2 linked regions of the Drosophila melanogaster genome follow. The protein of the gene in region 2 interacts with the protein of the main gene of each other region in a pairwise test. Each region holds a gene or a part of one and is shown on either strand. Other genes may lie near its edges.

The links. The genes of interacting proteins can lie anywhere in the genome.
Region 1: the proteins of Nost (region 2) and Kyat interact in a two-hybrid assay, tested with the Drosophila melanogaster proteins (one study listed by BioGRID).

What each region holds. Positions count from the first base shown.
Region 1 is NT_033777.3:11,819,549-11,824,412, reverse strand, and holds Kyat (kynurenine aminotransferase), read left to right. Parts: upstream 1-1,919; 5' UTR 1,920-1,990; intron 1,991-1,992; exon of another isoform or gene 1,993-2,066; intron 2,067-2,171; exon of another isoform or gene 2,172-2,221; intron 2,222-2,295; exon of another isoform or gene 2,296-2,593; coding exon 2,594-3,133; intron 3,134-3,192; coding exon 3,193-4,005; 3' UTR 4,006-4,032; downstream 4,033-4,864. Other genes in the region: CG6959 (uncharacterized protein), read left to right, coding at 1-783; COX5A (cytochrome c oxidase subunit 5A), read right to left, coding at 4,252-4,701.
Region 2 is NC_004354.4:9,028,197-9,033,528, forward strand, and holds the start of Nost (nostrin), read left to right. Parts: upstream 1-2,008; 5' UTR 2,009-2,673; coding exon 2,674-2,700; intron 2,701-5,332.

The DNA of each region.
Region 1 (4,864 bases), on a different chromosome or scaffold from region 2:
AATAGCTCGCCGCAGCTGAGCGAGGATCTGCACGACATCTTTGTGAACAGCCAGTTGGTAAAGTTGCAGAAGCTGCATCTGGAGCAGAACGAGATCACGCACTTCAAGGATCGCAATGTCTTCTGCGACCTGCCCTCGCTGCGTGACCTCCATTTGGGCGACAACGATCTGCGGGACCTCAACTTCGAGGTGCGCTGCCTGAACAATCTTCGCTTCCTCGACCTGGAGCGCAATAAGTTCAGCTTCGTGAAGCCAACCGATCTTCGGGTGCTCAATGAACTGGAGGAGCGCCCCAACCGCACGGCCAACTTGATCGTAGACTTTAACCTCAATCCCTTCGGCTGCGACTGCCGCACCGCTCCGTTCCGCGCGTGGATAACCACCACCCGGGTGACGGTGCGCAACAAGGACAGCTTGATGTGCTTCCATTCGACGGGACATGTGGACGCCGAGCCCGCTCACCTCCTGCAGATGGATATGGGTCAGTGTGCGGACGCCATCGCCGCCGCTGCCACAATACTAAACACCGCAGAGGATGAGCCGCACTACGGCGACCCGGAGGCGTCTCATCTCCAACCTCAGGCCCATATCAGCGGTCACACGGCCACTCTGATCTTCCTGCTGATCGTACTCACCATGATCCTGCTGGGACTTCTGGTGGCACTTGTCTACGTCAGTAGAGACAAGTTGAAATACATGATAACGCCGGTTTTCGACAATGTGGCCAAGAAGGTGCAGTACACATCGATCAAGGACGAAGACTGCCCGGAGGTGCACGTTTAGGAGCTTCACTTCACCAACAGAATCAACACAAAAAGAGAGAAGGAGAGGAATAAAGCTCGGTTTTCACTTTTCATTTCAAACAGAAAGCCATTCGATTCCCTGAAATTGTATCAAGGCCAAAAAAGTTCCTGCAATTTCCAAAGGATATAACATAAAAGATTCTTCGATTGAATTTGTGAAGAATTCTTTCTTACTTTCTATTCCTGTAGAACACTATTTGTTTGAAATTGAATTCGAAACCGGGCCAATATCCTCAGATTAGTTTTTGCCATTAGCGTTTCGCAAAACGTGTGCCATTCACAATGGAAGAGGATGAGATGGAGGAAACAATAGGATCACACTGAAGTCCCAACCAGAATCAGAACATCAGCCTTTGTTTCGTAGTACTTAAGCCAATTGTTGCATTTAACAGCGGATGGAATGTGGCCACTTAAATTACTGCAACAAAACCACATTACACAGACAAGAACACAATTTCTTTAGATTTAGCGGTTTTCTATCTTAACTTTAAGTCAGTTATGGGTTCTATGATTTCAAAGCAAAGAAATCGTACGAAAGGAGAAGGCAAAGCGGGCCTGTATCAACCGATTTGACCACACATATATAGTGACATATATATATATAGAAACAGACACATATATATACATGCATATATCGTAACAAACACTTTAGTGTTATCTGTGATTTAAGTTTAGTAGCTTTACTTTGTTGAAACTCTGCAGAAAGAACATTTTAAATCGAAATTGGTCTAAAACAAACTTCAATTCTTTTTATAGCATTACAGATAATTCTACACTCAATGAAACTGTTTCGATGCTTAATATGTTATTAATCAATTAATTTGTCAATTATACTAGCTGTACGATAATTTCTCCCTTGATTAACTACCAATAACAAGCATTTTTTATAAATAAACATTTGAAAAATGAAATGAAATGCGTTTTAAATTTATTTGTGTGGGTTTCATTGGACTTGCAACCATATCCTAATAATTTGAATATATTTTTTAAAAACTTATTTGCAACTTATTCGCGGTTATGTTAAAATGATAATTTGAATTCGATTTATTTTCGATATAAGTTGGTAGTCGATTGGACCGATTTTTCGTGCGTGATTTGAATGGTATCCCTGGTCCTAGACTATCGATAACAGTGCAAACAGTGTTTTGGGTCACCTACAATTTTATAAACAATCCGCAGCTTAATTTGTAAGTTACAGCTTAATTGCCGAATTCTAAGATGTATTCAAAGTGGTTGTCAAATTAAAGAACCCTTTTATTTTGAGTATCTGGTTAATTGTCATTTTGTATTCAAGGTCAACTAGAAATGATCGTGGAATTAAAGCTCGTTTGGGTCGTTATCAATCTGTTTAAAATTGTGAAATCTGTAATTCGAACAGAAAGTTGATAATGATTTTTGTTTCCTGCAGCTAATTTTGGGTGAATTTCAGATCAAACATATTTATATGTTGCGGCATTAACTTTAGACGCTCTTGTTTATTTGCATATTTCAGTTTGCATGTGTGCGTGAGCGCTTTAAAACAAAATCGTGTCGCATATAGATATTCCGCTAGTCTAATCACAATTCAGTGCCATTATGCAACGTCACCGCGTAGTGCAGGCCTCCAGCATTTAACTCAACAATTGCATTTAAAAGTAAACCAGTGATATAGTTTATTGTTACATTTGAGATCAGACATCAGACCCGCAGAGACGACAGGCAAAGTGCGTGCTTATCGCGCAATAAACAATCCAGACACGCGGTGATAAGGCGAAAGGGAGCGATCATTCACTAAAGTCACCTTTTTACAGATGCTACGCAGCTGTCAGTTAACCCTCTCCGCCGCTAAGAGGAGCCTTCGCGAGCAGTTCCAGTTGCAAGCCCTTCGTCACCAGCAGACTGCCATTAAAATGGAGAAATTCGATCTGCCCAAGCGATTGCAGGGTAGCACGCCCAGCGTCTGGAACGAGTACATTGCCCTGGCCATGCAATATAAGCCCCTGAACTTGGGACAGGGATTTCCCGATGATGCCGCTCCCGAGTACGTGACCCACTCGTTGGCCGACATTGCCAAGGAGCAGAATCCTCTTCTGCATCAGTACACTCGCGGTTACGGTCACGTTCGCCTGGTCAATGCGCTATCCAAGCTCTATAGCGGTCTCGTCGGCAAGGAGCTAAATCCCCTCAGCGACATACTGATTACCTCAGGCGCCTATGAGGCTCTCTACTCCACCATCATGGGCCATGTGGACGTGGGCGACGAGGTGATCATTATTGAACCATTCTTTGATTGCTACGAGCCTATGGTCAAGATGGCCGGTGGAGTGCCCCGCTTTGTTCCCCTAAAATTGGTAAGAACCACAATAGAAAAAAAAAATATATCCCTCTTTTTAACATGTCTAACTTCTAGCGCAAGACAGAGGGACCAATAAGCTCTGCCGATTGGGTGCTAGATGACGCTGAGTTCGAGAGTCTGTTCAACTCTAAAACAAAGATGATTATCCTAAACACGCCCCACAACCCTATTGGAAAGGTCTTCAACCGGAAAGAGCTAGAGAGGATAGCCGAGCTCTGCCGCAAGTGGAATGTGCTGTGCGTCTCGGACGAGGTGTATGAGTGGTTGGTGTTCGACGGAGCCGAGCACATCCGTATCTGCACGCTGCCGGGCATGTGGGATCGCACCATTACTCTGGGATCAGCGGGCAAGACCTTCTCAGTAACTGGTTGGAAAATAGGCTGGGCCTACGGACCCGCTGAACTGATTCGAAACCTGCAGATGGTGCATCAGAACTCTGTGTACACCTGTCCAACGCCGCTCCAGGAGGGCGTCGCACGCAGTTTCGAGGTAGAACTGGCCCGTTTGGGTCAGCCGGAGAGCTACTTCCTTAGCCTGCCGCGCGAGCTGAAGCAGAAGCGTGACTTCATGGCCAAGTTCCTGTCCGAATCCGGTATGCGTCCCACCATTCCTGAGGGTGGCTACTTTATGCTGGCAGACTGGTCACCACTGGCGGGCAAGATTGATCTAAGCTCTGAGCCAGACAAGCATCGGGATTACAAGTTTACCAAGTGGATGACCAAGAACATGGGCTTGCAGGGCATACCGCCAAGTGCCTTCTACAGCGAACCCAACAAACATCTGGGGGAGGACTTTGTGCGCTACTGCTTCATCAAGAAGCAAGAGAACCTGGATAAGGCGGCCGAACTGCTGTCCAAATGGAAATAGTCGCCGGACAATAAACGAATTGCTATCAGCCGCTTTGTTTATCTCTGCCCGAATGCAGTTCCCTAACCTGGGTGTTACGTAACCAACAGGGAAAACAACCTTGTGCTGGTGTGGTAGCCTTACTGCAATCTCCATTTATTAGCAATCCAACAACATGTTCATCCGCACCATACATTGGATAGTAGGTAGCTAGTGTCGCTGTAACGTGTATATTGTGTTCTGTGTTTTTAAACTAGTGTTCTCCGCTTAGGCATCGTACACGGACTTCAGGGCCAATTCGGGCTTGTCGTAGCCCAGTTCCTCGATGGTTGGGATGCCCAGCTCCTGCAGTGTGGGGGTGATCTTCTCCAGCAAGTAGGGATAGAGGGTGGCCTTTTGGTCGCCGCACTTGTCCTTGCATCCCTCCAGCCACCTGATGGCCAGTGCAATGTCGTTGACGCGACGGCTGGCACGCAGACCGGCCTCGATGATCTTGGGGCTGGGCACCAGATCCATGCCCAGCAGATCGTTCATGCCCTTGCGGATCTCCCAGCCATCGATGCCCTCACGGCTGAAGTACTTCTCGTAGCGCTTGTCGAACTCCTCCGCCGATTCCTCGGTTCCGTGCAGACAGCGCACGGCGGCCACGCGCGACGATGTGCCGACGAGGCTGCTGCGGAGGGCGCTTGCCAGGTTACGGGCCGTGATGCTCAACATGCTGCCGTTAAAAACAGTAAAATGCTTGTTAATTGCAAAAATTTGGTTAAGTAACAGCTCGACTCACTTTTCTTGTTCTTGCTACTTTTCACACGGGTATGACAGATCTGAGTGATGGTTGGCAACACTGGCTTTTCCAGGGATGGACACGTTTATAACTGTC
Region 2 (5,332 bases):
TGAAACGCAAGTCTTATGAAATCCTAGCAAGTAAGGCAAACCAAAATTGTAAAGGTCAAGATACAGAAATGGATGGAGGAACGATATACCTAAAAACAATGCCTAACTGTACGATAGTAAGCATACTATATACACATATATATATACATATATTGATAAAGTAATAAAGCGGCATAAATGTGTAAAAGTAATCTATTTATTTACACCGACAACCCTGTAAATACACAAATTCTGTGCAATTTTCTATCGACTCCCGCAAAACCCCGCGTTTTAATTCAATCCTCGCCCAAATCGAAACTTTGAACAGACAACGACTTTGGATTCTCCCTTCCACCTGGATATACACTATATATACATACATATATATATACATACATACATTTAATTATTAACTTACGCAAGTCTGAAAGTATTTCTATCGAAGAGTTCTAAACTGCTTAACTGTAAAGTGTACATACATATACCGAATTACAAACACTCACAGATCCTATAAACTATATTTATAGATGTAAGAAAAAGCACACTATTGATAACCATCCCCATCACTGTATGTATATGCCTATTTAATATATATATATATATATATATATATATCTACTTTTTTTGAATTAGTCACTAAGCATAGACAACATGAATTACTAAGTACGATATGCACTGCAAGCACTGAGGAATTTGATTCAATTTTACTTAAGACAAACGAAAAGAGAAATTGAAATAGCATTTAGCAAACCTAACGGAAAATCAAAAAAAAAAAAACAGAATTAAATAAGAGAATCTCCAATTTCTGGGATAATAATTACAAATTTAATATTAATTTTTCGAGCTACATCGGATGAGAAATACCGACGAAAAAAAAAAACTGTATTCGCTTGTGGCAATTGTGTGGGAAAGTCGAGAACGTTTAGCATCTGGATTGGCTATGCAGCATTCGTATGTTATATACTTAGAAACCCGAAAACCACAGATACACACACACACCCACGAATATTAAATAGATGTACAATAGTTATATAGACTCATTCGCATCGATCCTTTAAGCCATAGTCTATCCTGTTAAGCTCTCAAACAAAATTGTAATTTTCGGAACCGCAAAAAACGAACCCCAAACGCTCAGCTACGAGTTTCTGTTTAAAATCCAAGTGCAACTTTCAAAGAATTGTAAAAAAAAAAAAAATATCAATAACACTTTACGCTAGCGAATCCCAACAATATTTGGACAAACGATCGAAATCATCCACAAAATTGCTTATAATATGAATTTTCTGACTCTCTCCTAAGGGAAAATAAAAATTTTTTTTGGTATTTCAAACTCAACAACATTGCGTTTTTCTTTTATGGCATAGTTTTGGGCTTTCTCACCTACAAGTAAAGTCAAATTCAGATGAGTCACGGCTTGTAAGGTAACTAAATAAGTTATTAGAATATTGTAATCACAGCATTTAGACGGAAATCGAAATAAGTCATAAGGGTAAGTTCGAAAGATGCAAATTTATGCATCTGCATTCCATAACTTTGAAGTCATCGTAAGCCAAGCTTAAACGAGCTTTAAAACGTACACAAAGCTTGTCCAATTGGCTGCAACTTTTTTTTAACAATAAATAAATTTTTAAAAATTAAATCTTTTTATCTAAAATTGTCTGAATGTCAGCTGACTTCAATCAGTTGAATATATGTTCTTTATGCATTTTCATTTCATATTTTTCTTTATCATATTCTATTCACCGAGTGGAAGATTTCCCTGCAGGTTTGTTGTTTTTTTTTTTAGCCACATAAGTCAGTAAATCAGCCCACTGTACCCACTGTGCCGCTCCACAAAGAGCGTTCAGCGTTGAGCGGAGAGCGTTTAGAAAGCGCCAGCGACCGGCGATTGCAATTGCCACCGCTCACGGAGAGCGGCGAGCGGCGTTTGCGATTGCGATTGCCATTGGGATTGGGATTTGTTGTAGCGTGGATCGCGGAGTCGGAGTCAAAAGCTAAAAGCCAGATTCAGTTGGCGGCGCAGACTCGACTCGTTTAGTTCGCCGTTTCGTAGAAGAGCGACGAGAGCGCATGCGGCTTTTCCAGCGCGGTTTTTCCACCAAAACTTCGGCGACCTGTGTACTATTATTTATATTTTTATTACATTTTTTTTTATTGTTTTTTCTTTCTACCTGCGAACGCTTTGCTCGCCTTGAACTGGAGTGCTTCGTTTTTGAGTAGTGCATCTCTGCCTTTTGCTGGCGAGTGCTACAATTGTCGCACGTAATCGTGCTGGCAGTTACGCCTCAGAAAGCAGCCAAAAAAAAAAGAAAAAAAAACGCAGATACAAGATACAAAAGTATCTCGAACACATGCGTTACGCTCAGCTGACTCGTCGTGTGTGTGAGTGTATCGTAGTGTCGTTGTGTGTGTGTGCTAACAAATTGGTTAGATAAATTAAACAAAAACTGTGAAATTCGCGAATCAAAAAAAAAAAAAAAACAAAAGTAAAATAAAAGTTACACAAACGAAATACGCGAAGGAAAAGCGACGAGCTGAAACTGAAAGCAAACAATCAGCCGGGCTGACCAGTAGTAAATGCTTTAAACTTCAATTATAAAATTTAAATTGAAAAAAATAAAAAAAACACATATAGTTCACAATACCGCATCATAATATCCTACCCGCATCCTAACCCCCGCCGCTGGCCAAAATATGTCACAATTCCGCGATAATTCATGGGTGAGTTGCGATCGAGTTCAGTTCGGTTTGGCTTGAGATTTGGCACTAATTACCGACTAACTACTGCACACGTATCCACAGTGATACTCGCACTCTATCCTGCACTCAAAACTAATCCAAATTGCACAATTATCCAACACAATTTCTCTCCCTATCCTCATTTGTCCATTGCCCAACGCCCCCTCTCGACATCTTCTTAATTGGTCCAAATCGTTAATTAACCTGTGTGGCCATCTGTAAACCGATTGGCCAATTGGCACCATGCATCTCTCGGCCTGACCCGATTTTTTTAAATTTCGCAGCTCGCCAAGTGCCGATCCATCGATTGGTGGAATTGCACTGGCAATCAAAGTTGATAATTAGGGGAATTTTGACGATTTCTTCAATCATTTTGATGTTTAGTATTTGAGATACATTCACTAGTTCTTTGATGGCTTATTACCTTAAACTGCTTTTGAACTTTAAGAAAGTTACAAATATTCGTTTTAACTTACTATAACTTTATAAGTTTAATGAACAGAAAATATAGAACTTTCCACATTTATAGACAAGCAATTATAATATCATTTTCGATATAAAAAACATTATTATTAGGGGTGTTTTTTTTCGAGTGCATTTGCATTTGTGCCGACTGGCAATTGACTTGGAACTGAGAATTTTGACAGCTTCCGAAGCTTCGCATGCAGCGAATTACCTTGGCTTTATCAGCGGAATAACGGTGTCGAGGTCACTCGAAATAACCTAATCAAATTGGTTGGTTTTTTTAAATTTTAATTTTTTATTTTTTTTTAATAGGAGTGCGTCGTTCGCTTTGGCGAACGAAAGTCGAACAGTTTTTGAATAAATTAGTGCGATGCAAAACACGCAGGTTAAGCGGGTCAAACGGCAATGTTGATAGGCATGGGATGAAATTTATAGATCGACTTATTCGAAGTGCTGTGCAACCCGTTTATCTCGAACGATTTATCTGCGAAATATCTGGCCAAGATGGTAAAAAAAAAAAACAAAAAAAACTACTGCGGCAAGTGGTATTGCAAGATATGCAAAATTGTGGTTAAGTAAAGTAGTAAATTATCAATACTTTGTATTTAGAGATATGAATTCACTACTTAAGATACTTTTTTTTCGATTTAGTTTCTCTATATGTTTGCTGACTTTCGAATTAAGCCGCAATTGCTTTGCATTTTTTTTATCTCTACTTGTGTCAAAGAGAAAAACACACACACCTACATTTACCGAGAAATTTCCCAACTTAATTTCTACATGCTATCTAGATCAAACATCATTTCCACACCTCGAGCGCCCTTTTTCTACAGCAATTGCATGATTTGAAGGTCGACGGAGCTTTCTTTTGTTTCTTTTGGAGTTAAAAAAAAAAAAAAACCGGTGAAACAAACAGTTAGGATTGCACTCAGCGAAAAGAGTTATCTAAATCCATAACTTGTTGATAAGAAGATAGTGGTTGTATTGTAGTAAAAAATAATCATATAAAAACTTGGTACATTTAGGCATGGTGAACTTTTGCACCACAGCAATTTCGCGTAGAATCGCATTCTTTTTTTTTAGAAGCCTTTGTTTCGCTTCGCTGTATTTTTGTTGTTTATGAATGTGAATGCGTTATCGTCGTATCTGCGTAACTGTAATCGCATTATGATCCATTAAAATGCGCCAGCTTTTTTGGCAGTTTTTTTTTTTGTGATAAGGTCTGCGGACACCCACCACCTAAGGCGCTCCCTCGTCTGGCAGCAAAAAAATGAAAATAAAAAATATCATAAAACCAATCAAAATCCAGTAAAATAAGAGAAAAACCAGTTGGCCTGGCCCAAGTCGATTGCGCAAATGTCGTGACTGACGTCGCGCCAACGATTATCATCTTCTTCTGGCTAAGATTGAGATTCGGACTGGGATTGGGATTGGGATTTGGGACTTGGGATGCTGCACCTGCACATCCAAAGTCTGGCGGCTGAAGTCTGCTTCCTGGTGGCAGCTTCAAGTTCAATTACGGCAGATTGTCGTGAAGGCATTGGCCATGGATTCACAACCATATCGATATACACAACCACAACCATATTCACATCCACATCCACATCCACATGTCCATGTTGGTCATCAGCAACTTTCACTCACCGGCTAAATGACGATGACGATGTGTGCCTCCTGCACATTTTGTCATCGTTTTTCATGTGGGAAAATCTCTCGCCTCTGCAAAAGATCCAAAGAAAAAAAGACCTAAACGATGGGGAAGTCGTGTGGAGGCTCGCTTTTATTTTTCCTTCTTTTTTATTCATGGAAGCTGCGCTTTTGGGCAGACATTGCAAAATAATTTCCACAACAAGTTGGGAAGGCCGTCGACGACAATGAACTTTTAATTACCCCAAAGACTCGTTTCGCAAAAAAAATAAAAACACATGGAGAAAAGTAAAGGGGGAGCACAAACCTCATTCAAATGAGGTTTGCGGAAGAAAAAGAAAAGAAATTTTCAAAGGAGGAAAAGTTACTTAGCTCTCCGTGATCATATGCAATTTAATGCCTGCCCAATTTGCTGCGGAACAATCGGGTCTTTGTTTTTTTATGAGCAAAACCCTCCATTTCCCCAGCAGCAGATTAGATTTCAATTGAAGATTTGCAGATT